Linked DNA regions of Macaca mulatta. The protein of the gene in region 2 binds, or shares a complex with, the protein of the main gene of each other region. Links are inferred from orthologs where the notes say so. Each region holds a gene or a part of one and is shown on either strand. Other genes may lie near its edges.

Evidence for each region.
Region 1: the proteins of CACNA1S (region 2) and STAC2 are in contact, whole or in part, in a crystal structure (PDB 6B27), measured with the Homo sapiens proteins. The link is inferred for Macaca mulatta from reciprocal best matches to the Homo sapiens genes CACNA1S and STAC2. Residues at the interface, in NP_000060.2 of Homo sapiens: Glu749, Pro750, Glu751, Ile752, Pro753, Ser755, Pro756, Arg757, Pro758; in NP_945344.1 of Homo sapiens: Tyr301, Lys302, Phe303, Gln306, Glu307, Asp310, Asn326, Asp328, Trp329, Phe340, Pro342, Asn344, Phe345.
Region 3: CACNA1S (region 2) and CACNG1 share a complex: the UniProt entries of both Homo sapiens proteins name them as parts of the calcium channel complex. The link is inferred for Macaca mulatta from reciprocal best matches to the Homo sapiens genes CACNA1S and CACNG1.

What each region holds. Positions count from the first base shown.
Region 1 is NC_133421.1:63,554,720-63,558,468, reverse strand, and holds the start of STAC2 (SH3 and cysteine-rich domain-containing protein 2), read left to right. Parts: upstream 1-1,188; 5' UTR 1,189-1,473; coding exon 1,474-1,563; intron 1,564-3,749. UniProt on the Homo sapiens protein: Plays a redundant role in promoting the expression of calcium channel CACNA1S at the cell membrane, and thereby contributes to increased channel activity. Slows down the inactivation rate of the calcium channel CACNA1C.
Region 2 is NC_133406.1:58,708,838-58,712,486, forward strand, and holds part of CACNA1S (voltage-dependent L-type calcium channel subunit alpha-1S), read right to left. Parts: intron 3,527-3,649; coding exon 3,416-3,526; intron 2,725-3,415; coding exon 2,641-2,724; intron 1-2,640. UniProt on the Homo sapiens protein: Pore-forming, alpha-1S subunit of the voltage-gated calcium channel that gives rise to L-type calcium currents in skeletal muscle.
Region 3 is NC_133421.1:76,808,880-76,811,198, forward strand, and holds the end of CACNG1 (voltage-dependent calcium channel gamma-1 subunit), read left to right. Parts: intron 1-113; coding exon 114-251; intron 252-1,057; coding exon 1,058-1,284; 3' UTR 1,285-1,814; downstream 1,815-2,319. UniProt on the Homo sapiens protein: Regulatory subunit of the voltage-gated calcium channel that gives rise to L-type calcium currents in skeletal muscle. Regulates channel inactivation kinetics.

The DNA.
Region 1 (3,749 bases), on a different chromosome or scaffold from region 2:
AAATATCTTGAATGGGTGCAGTGGCTCATGCCTGTAATTCCAACACGTTGGGAGGTCAAAGTGGGGAGATCACTTGAGCCCAGGAGTTGGAGATCATCCTGTGTAACTCTGTCTCTACCAAAAAAATTTAAAAATTAGCCAGGCATGGTGGCTTACGCCTGTGGTCCCAGCAACTAAAGAGGCTGAGGTGGGAGGATTGCTTGAGCCCAGGAGTTTGAGACTGCAGTGAGTTATGATTACACCACTGCACTCCAGCCTGGGTAAAAGAGTGAGACCCTGTCTCTAAATAAAAGATTAAAAAAAAGAAGAAGAAGAAGGTTATTGTCAGAGCAGGTGGAGAGGGGGGCATCTTGGAGGGTGAGGACCTCTTCCCCCACCTCTCCGTATTATCCCCTGATCTAACTCCAGTTGTGGTAGGATCTTTAGGAGGGGAACGTGTCTTAGAGAAGTTTGGGGACTTTGGGTGTGAGGACTGAGACCCCATCTCTGCTGAAGTTCAGACACCAAGACTGGAAGGAGATACAGCCATCCTGCTTTCCATCACAAGGAGGAATTGTCCGGCCTGGCCTTTGACACATACACCATAGTCCAGGTGTGTATATTTGGAGAGAGCCTTTTCAGGATATAGAGGCATCTAATTAATGGCACAGATGGGTCCCCATTCTTTCTTCACCAACCTCTGGCATCTATCAATCTTCGCTCTCAGGAAGTCCTAACTTCGATCTCACTCTCAGCTATCTTGCTGCGGCCCCAACCTATTTCTAATCCCTGCAACCCATCCAGACTCTACTATGATCTCCCCAAGCTTCCCTCAATCTGATCACGCCCCTCCATCCCGGGTTTTTCAGTGTGAAACTCCCTCCTCCGCTTCTTTCCCCGCCAAGCCCCGCCCCATCGTGTCGAGCCCCCCAAGACTCCGCCTAGCTCGCCCTCCTGGCCACCGCGGCAGCCAATAGCTGAGAGCCTGATTTGCAGGGCGGCGCGGGGGAGCGGCGGAGGGCAGGGGGCGGGACCAGGCGACCTCCTAAATCAAAGTTGGGCGGCGAGGACTGGGCGGAGGGGCCGCCGGGTGCCGGGCTGGGTCCGGCGGGGGAGGGGAGGGGATGGGGGGCGGGCGCAGAGGACGGCGGAACCGGCCGGACACCGACAGCTCCTTGGCTCCCTCCCTCGGCTCATCCCCGCCACCCCACTTCCCTCCTCCCCGCGCTGCGAGCAGCATCCTCTGCAGACCCTCGGTCCTCGCGCCCGGGGTCGTCCCGCTCCTGCGGCTCGGCGTGGTCGCCTCGCCTCGCCCGCCACCCCGGCAACTTTCTCCGCCTGAGCCCGCGGGTTGGGGGCTGCGGTGCCCGAGGCTAACTGGGGGCAGCCTCTGGAGAAGGGCTTCGGAGTCCCGGAAACGCCCGCCACCCGCAGCCTGCCCGCGGCGGGCCTGCCGTCGGATCTCGGCACCCTCTCCTCCCCTCTCCCCGAACCATGACCGAGATGAGCGAGAAGGAGAACGAACCGGATGACGCGGCCACTCACAGTCCCCCAGGGACCGTCTCCGCCCTCCAGGAAACCAAGGTAACTTGGGGGGCGCGAGGCCTGTCCCCGCCCCGTGCGCCCCGGACCCGGGCGCCCTCTTCCTGGCGGGGTCCTCCTGTGGGCCCGGGCGTCCGAGGGTCGCGGTGAGGCCGGCGTGACCACTGAGGCTCTGCGCCGCTCCCGGGGGGAGGAGTGGGTTGGCGACGAAGGGCCACGAAGACCCCCCAATCACACCAGCACCGCACGCCCGCGCGCGCCATCGCGACCTTCCGGGGAGGCGGCCACTGGTCTTCGTTGGAGAGATGGGCGCAGCGAGGCCGGAGGGCGCGCGTGGAGCGGTGCGGGCGGGGTTCGCGCCCGGCTGTGCGTGCGAGGCGCACCCTCCATCGGCCGCCGGGTCCCAGTCCCGGGCTCAGTCCGCGCCTCTGTCCTCGCTGGTGTCTCTGAATTTGTCTCTACAACCTGCGTGTCTGTGTCTTGGTGTCTCTGTGTGCGTCTTTCCCCGTCTCTCCCGGCGCCTCCTGGTGTTTATCTCCGCGTCTCAGCGTGTCCCTCCCTGCCCCTCCGCAGTCCTGCATTCCCCGCTCCTAGCCCGGTTGGGCTCGGGGAAGCGAGGCCGCGGCCGGGGGTGCGCAGCTGCGGAGTCCGCGCGGGGGCCTGCGGCAGCGCCAGCCGTCGGTCACCGGCGGGGACGGGGGCCTGCGGTTGTGGCTCCGGACCAGAAAGACAGGCAGCCCCACTCCCCACCACGGGAGCGGGACCAGGGGAGGGGGAGCGGGTAGAAGCAGAAACAGAAGTAATTGTAATTAATGAATGTCATCATTAACCCTAATTATGGATGATTGTTACTCCTGCGGGAGTCACCGTGAATAAATTACTCCCCGCGAAGGCGGGCGGAGCCCAGACTCCTGGCGCTGAAAGTAGTGGTGGGGGGGGAGGCCGCCGCTCACACTCAGCACTCCCCCCACCTCTAATCCGTCTGCTCCCTTCCCAAGTTCTAGGTGCTGGCGACTGGCCCGCGAGAAGTTCTGTTTCTGCGGGAGTAACCTGAGCGGGTCTGGGGATGGGGCAGAAAGGGCTGTGCCAAGGGCGCGCCCTGCCCCCTCCCAGACTTCAGGCCAAGACCTCTTCCCTCCCCCTTTCCCCGGTATTTTGTTCCCATCCTGCTCCCGTTCTCCAGAGGCGAAAGGGGACAGTGAGGACCAGAAATGATGGGAGCCTGGGCTCTGGAGGCATGGCTCGCTCTCTGGGCTTCTTCCCACTGTCCCCCTTCCTCCTTCTTCCATCTTGACCATCCCGCAGGAGCTGAGGTTAATTCAAGGTCAAGGTCATCAAGGGAGTGATCGGGAGGAGGAGGCCGTAGGGTCAGGGTGGACTCTGGCAGAGGCACCCCAGGGAGCCCCCATCCTACACCAGGGGACCCAGCGGGTCTCCATGTTCAAGTCTTCACATGCACACCTGACCCTCTCTTGCCCCCTTCTAAAAATGAGACTTTGGTCTGTCAGGCCACAGCTGTCTCCCCTTTAGAGAGCCGAGTCTCAGTCTCTCCTGGGAAAGGACTAAGATGTTTGGGTGGGAGGATATTGCTTGGAATATTTGTGACAACTTCTGTCAAGCAGAGGGTCTGGGAGCTGAACCTCACCTAAGTCCAATACCCCTGACCTCGGTTGCCCTCTAGTCACCCTGGGAAGACATACACAGTCCCCCTGCTTGCCTCCAGGGCACTGGGGGCCTTCCCAGGCCCTGCTCTGTTTCCCACACGGAGGCCTGTCCTCTCCAGCCCCCTCTGTGGGAGCTCTGGAAGGTGGGCAGGAGTGCGGGGTGGTGCTGCCTCAGTACTCCAGGAAGCCGCCTGCTCAGCTGTGTGGGGAGGGGCGGTCAAGGCCTGCAGATCGGCACCTCTCCGTCTTCCCAGGTCAGGACCCTCCAATGTTGTCACCTCTGGGTCTGAGCTTGGAGATCCAAGGACCAGGGGAGAGGAGGGGTTACACCTCTGATCGGGCCCCTCTGTGCCAGGCCAGCTGGAGCCCTGGCCCTCCACCCCTCCCGTATACATCACACTCGTGAAGGATTCTGCACTAACACAGACTGGGCTGTGGGTCAGGTTGGGGGTATTCAGCAGGGCAGAGGTGGGCAGAGAGAGAACTCAGGACCCCTGCTAGCCTTCTTCCATCCCACACCTCAGCCTGGCCCAAAGAAGCTCCTGTCTCCAGACTGTGTGGGTG
Region 2 (3,649 bases):
TCACGTGACTTTAAGCAGACACTACTGGTAAGGGACATCTGCTAAAAATCAAATAAAAACCAGTGACACCCTGCTGGCCTCCACCACCAAAGACACCGTTTTGATATATCCAGGCTTCCCCTACACAGACCTCAGATTTTAACAAGTAACTATTTTTAGCTTGGGCTGTTTATTTTGGCTGTTTAGATTTCTCGGCTCTGGCTGTGCTGGTGAGAAGTGCTGCTGTCAAACCATGGAGCCTTTTGGGATACTATTTCCCAGCAAAAACTGAGTGTGGATGGAAATACACAACACACACACAGAGACACACACACACACACACGCGCATTGGTTTTGCTCAGAGCCCACCCTGGCCCTCACTAGCTCAGCGCCCCCAGGGGATCTGAGCAGATGGGGTTGTCTGTCACTGTTCTGTGCATGGAGAGTGAACAGGATTCCCACCCTGGTCCTCCCCTAGCACATCAGACAGCTGGTGTGACAGCCAAGTCCCCACTCCCTGCCAGAGCTCAGCCTCAGCTGAGGGCTCCTTCCTCAGAGACTCCAGACTTTTCCTCAGCTGTTCCTCTCACCCACACCCCACCTCAGGCATCTCCAGTGCTCATCTTTCCACCCCATCCCCAACTCACCCTAAGGTTCACCCCACAGGCTGGCACAGCCAAAGGGCTTTCCGTTGAGCAGTGGGCAGTTCAGAAGAAAGCCCTATGCATGGCTGAGCCCCTAGCTTTAGGGCCAGTCCCCTGCTGGGATCCCTCATGGCCAGGCCAGCCAGCTTTCTGACATCCCACCCTGGCTCAGAAAGAAGAATGCTCATCTTTTCTCTCTTCCCCTGTGTCCCTCCTAGGATGCCACTTGGGCAACTGTTTTTTGATTTTGGCCTCTGACTCTCGGATAGTCTCCGCCCTCCATCGTTGCAGCAACCTGCAGCTGCAGACCCACGGCAAGGCAGCCTCTGGAGGGTTCCGCTTCTAAGACCTTGAATGTGGACCTCTCCAGCTGGAACTGCCTCCCTGCTCCTTTCATCCCCCTCACAAGGCAGGTCCTGCTGCTGTTTCTCATTCCACCGCCAAGGCCTCATCCCCTTGGTCCAGATCCTGGGAGCCTTCCTATCAGCTCAACCTTCAAAATAGATCCAGACATGGATCCCTTCTCACGGCCTCCACAGCCAGCCCCGGCCCCCATCGCCTCTCACCTGGATCACTGTGGGAACCGCCTGACTGCTCTCACTGGCTCAGCCCTCGTGTCCCCTGCAGTTTAGCTTGTTCACAACACAGCAGCCACAGTGATTGTTTTAGAACTAAAGTCTGTTCTCACTTAAACCCTCCAAAGGGCTCTCGTCTCCCTCAGAATAAAATCCAAGATGGTAACCGTGGCCTTCAAGGGCCTAGATGATTTGGCCCCTGCCTTCTCTCTCCTACCTCATCTCCACCACTCTCTCACCTCATCTCCACCACTCCGTCCTCCAGCTACAAGGGCCTGCTGCTCTTCCTCCAACTCAGCAAGTACCATCCTGCTGCAGGGCCTTTGCACTGGCCTCCTGTTCTGCCAGCACTCTGGCCCCCGTTCTGGCATGGCTCATGCCCTTGCTTTCTTCAGGTCTCTGCTACAGTGTCATATGGACACCACCCTCCCATGCTCTTCCACTCTAAGCCCCTATTTCCCTTTATGTTTCTGTATAATACTATGTATTTGTCATACCTGTCGTATTAGGGATTGATTTATTTATTGCCAGTTTGTTCCACAATTTTGTTCACTGCTGTATCTCAGCAGCAAGAACCTAGCCTGGCACACGGGAGGTGCCCAGTACATATTTGAGAAATAAATGAGTGAGTCTTCTAACCGGGTCTCTTAATTTTAGTCATTCTGACTTCCTGTCGCTCACCTCCAGGCTAGCTTTTTAGAAGCAGAGCTCTAAGGGCTCAGCGTGGTGGCTCACACCTGTAATCCCAGCACTTTGGGAGGCTGAGGCAGGTGGAGCACTTGAGCCCAGGAATTGGAGAGCAGCCTGGGCAACATGGTGAGACCCCATCTGCATATTCCAAAAACATATTTTTAAAAAAGAAGTAGGACTCTAATCCTCCCACTGCCCTGTTTAAAAACCTTTAGTGACTTTCCACTGCCTGCTCCATAAAGCTGAAGCCCCCTCTCACCGCTTAGCTCTCCAGCCTCGCCCTCTCCGTTCTCGTGTCTGCATGTTCTTATGCTTCCGATAAATTGGACCACTCAGCATGCCCTGAACCTTCTTTGCATTTCCTGCTCTGTGCCTCTCCTACAATAGCCCTGCCTGAGGTGCTTGTTCTCCTCTCCAACTCCAGTCACCACCTCCCTTTCCTTCAGGCAGATGGCACCACCTCCATGAAGCCTTCTCTGACCACCCCACTCAGAGATGACTTTCCTTTCCATTACAGCTCTTGCCTTTGATAGTGTAGTAGGTACACCCATGGTGTCTCCCTGGTATCTGAGTTATCTCTTCGCCCAGCAGGATGATAGTCCCTTGAGGGGAGAAGCCACGACTTGTCATTCCATCTTTTTAATCCCTGGGGTTCCATGTTGCACACACAGTGGGCAACCCACAAATATCTGTGGACTGAACACATGCTCTTGGACCCACGCTAGTGATGGCTCTGCCTGCCTGATACTCACGTCGATCTCGCTGAGGATGACATCAATGATGCTGCCAATGACAATCAGGAAGTCAAACACATTCCAGGGGTCTCCAAAGTAACCCTGGGAGGGAAAAGGATGGAAGAGTGAGGGGGTGAGCTTTGGGAGAAAGGATCTCTGGCTGCTAGCAGAGGACAGTGTCCCACTCGAGTTAATGTGGAGCTGCGGGTCAGGTCAAGGTGGGGTGCTCTGACTCCACCTCCCTACTGGTGCTCCAGTGGGCTCCCCCACTCCAACCCTCCTCTTCCCTTTGCTCTTTATTTCCCCTCTTCCAGAGCAGAAAGTAGTGGGGGGGGAGGGGAGAATTGTTGAGATCTCAGGATTTGGGGTCCTGGTCCAGATAGAGATATCTTTCATCCCCTGAACCCCACTGAACATCCTGTCTGGGGCTTGACAGTGCAGAACTGACAGGGCTGTGCTGGGAACCATGGGAATGGCCTTGAGAATCAAAGAGACAAGGCAAGATTTTCCCCCAGCCCTGGGCCTGTTCTTCAGAAACTTCGGGGCAGGCGAGAATGTAAGAGAAGCTCAAAGGAAGAGGCACCCAGAGTCTTTCTGTCATCAGTCAATTCTGGCTGCATGAAGATTTGCCTGCCCTGTGTCTGAAGGTGGAAGTGGGCAAAGGAGCAAGTTGGGAGCAGAAGTGCTGGGCAAAGGGGCCCTGATAGGATGAGGGATGGGGTGGATGTTCCACTGGAAGGCCCCACCCCCCCAGCCCCAGCTTCTCAACTGGCCCTGCAGCCCCCACACTTACCCTGGCCTTGAAGGCCATGAGCTTAAGGATCATCTCCAGGGTGAAGATGATAGTGAAGGCCACATTGAGGATGTCTGAAATGTGGTTCATCTGCTCTGACTGGTTGTAGTGCTGTGGAGGGGACACAGGAACAGTGGGTCAGGGGGGCTGGGTTTGCCCACCCTGTAGATCGCATTCCCAGAGCCCCTGCCTCTTCCTGGGCAGGCCCCAACCCTTTCTTGGGCCCCCTGCTCA
Region 3 (2,319 bases), on a different chromosome or scaffold from region 2:
GTCGGCTTTCTCGTGTGTGAGATGGGAATTGTGGTGCATGGGGTGGTCCCTAACCAGCCACCATGAGAGCTCCTGGACTGAGGCCGCATGCCGGGTGTCCCTTGTGTTTGCAGAGTACAGCATCTCGGCAGCCGCCATCGCCATCTTCAGCCTTGGCTTCGTCATCCTGGGCAGCCTCTGTGTCCTCCTGTCCTTTGGGAAGAAGAGGGACTACCTGCTGCGGCCCGCGTCCATGTTCTACGCTTTTGCAGGTAGACTGGGGGCTCCGCCCGAGCACCGGACTGGGGGGACCATGTCGTGGGGGATTCTCCGCTCCACTCTCATGCCCACCGTGGGATTTGGGTAGGGGGCATTTCCCAGGCTCCATCCCCATCCAGGGGCAAACCTGGCCAAGCCCTCAGCGACCCCAGGTGGGCTGGAGGGAGACAGAGCTTGGCGGTCTGTCCATTCCTCCCCATGATTCAACCCTCAAGGCCCCAAAGAAACTGCCCAGAGAATGATTAACAGAAGAAGGAAAGAAACGTGGTCGCCTTTCTTTCTTTTTCTTGGGGGATGAGGAAGAGGGTCTCGCTCTGTCGCCCAGGCTGGAGTGCAGTGGAACGATCACAGCTCACTGCAGCCTCGAACTCCTGAGTTGAAGGGTTCCTCCCGCCTCAGCCTCCTGAGTACCTGGGACTACAGACGTGCACCACCACACCTGGCTAAGTTTTTATTACATTTTAATTTTTTGTAGAGACAGAGGGCTCATCACTATGTTGCCCAGGCTAGTCTCAAACTCCTGGCCTCAAGCGATCCTCCTGCCTCAGCCTCCCAAAGTGCTGGGATTACAGGCATGAGCCACCGTACCCGGCCATGTGGTCGTCCTTCTAAGGGATGCAGGAATAGGGTGGTGCGTGGACAAATGGATCCTTCTGCAGGCTCCCAGCTAGAACCTGCCTTGAGGCAGCTTTTCCCCCAAGGCAAGGTCACTGCCTCCTCCATGCACACAGGCTGGGGTGGGGCTGGGGGTAACGGCAGGCACCCGTCGGTCCCTGAGCGTACCTGGCTCCGCCCCCAGGTCTCTGCATCCTGGTCTCGGTAGAGGTCATGCGGCAGTCGGTGAAGCGCATGATTGACAGTGAGGACACCGTCTGGATCGAGTACTATTACTCCTGGTCCTTCGCCTGCGCCTGTGCTGCCTTCGTCCTCCTCTTCCTCAGTGGTCTCGCCCTCCTGCTGTTCTCCCTGCCTCGAATGCCCCGGAACCCATGGGAGTCCTGCATGGATGCTGAGCCTGAGCACTAGCCCTCCTGTGGCCCTAGCGACCCTCAGGCTTCTTCTCCAGGAAGCCATGTCTCAGCCCGGAACCTTCCAGAGGGGAGGCGGGAGCAATTTTAGCTCCACCCTGCTCCCATCTGCCCCCTGCCACAGTCGCAGGCTGCTTCCTCTCTCTGAGCTCCTCTGGGCTGCCGCAGGCTCCCCTGGGAATAGAGCAAGAGGATGTCAGTCTCAATCTGGCCACAGTTGGGAAAGGCAGGGCCAGCAGGTGGACAGGTGTTTGCAAGGGCCCCACTTCCCCTGGAGCTCAGAGGTGTCCCCACTGTACCAGCCTCTGATAAGCTGCCTCCGGTTGTCCTTTATGAACATTGCAGGGACAACCTGTGTTTGCCAGTTCTTGGTGTTCTGTGTAAATAGCCAGCCCCTCCCTTTCTCAGTGATAAAACACACCCTCTCTGGTGAGCGCAGCGTCCCCTCCTTGGCTTCCAGGAGCCCTGGGAAGCATTTTTAACTGAGTAGAATCTGTCTGTGGCTTGAAATAAAAAGCTCTCAGAAAACTCACGTTTTCTTCACACCTTGCATAGAAATTGCTCAGATTCCTGGTCACATCAGGGGCCCCCTGACGCGGAATGAGAAGGGAAGGCAGGTCACCCGGGTACGTTGAGGACTTTTGTGGGGACAAGAGGGCAACACACGTGGCTTAGAGGCTCTGAATTCCAACTCAGACAGGGTTTCTCTAGGCCCTGAGATTGTTTTCGGGAGAAACTAGAAACCTTCTGATGAAGCAAGGGTGTTAAAAATAGGAGGGGTTATTTCTAGAGCCTGGCATGCAACGCACCTGGTGCCAACGCAGCGCTAAAGCAGCCAGCCAGTGTCTGATTTCTGATGCTGGATTTCTGTTGTGAAGAACATCAGGAAGCAGGGCTTAGCAGTTAGATGCTTAGGGCCACATGAAAAGCCATGATTTGCACACTTCTGCCTTCCAGAGCCCCACAGTACTTGCCCAAGCTTCCGAAGTGGAGTTCAGACATGATTGGCAGATGGGATCTTTGCCTTGCACCC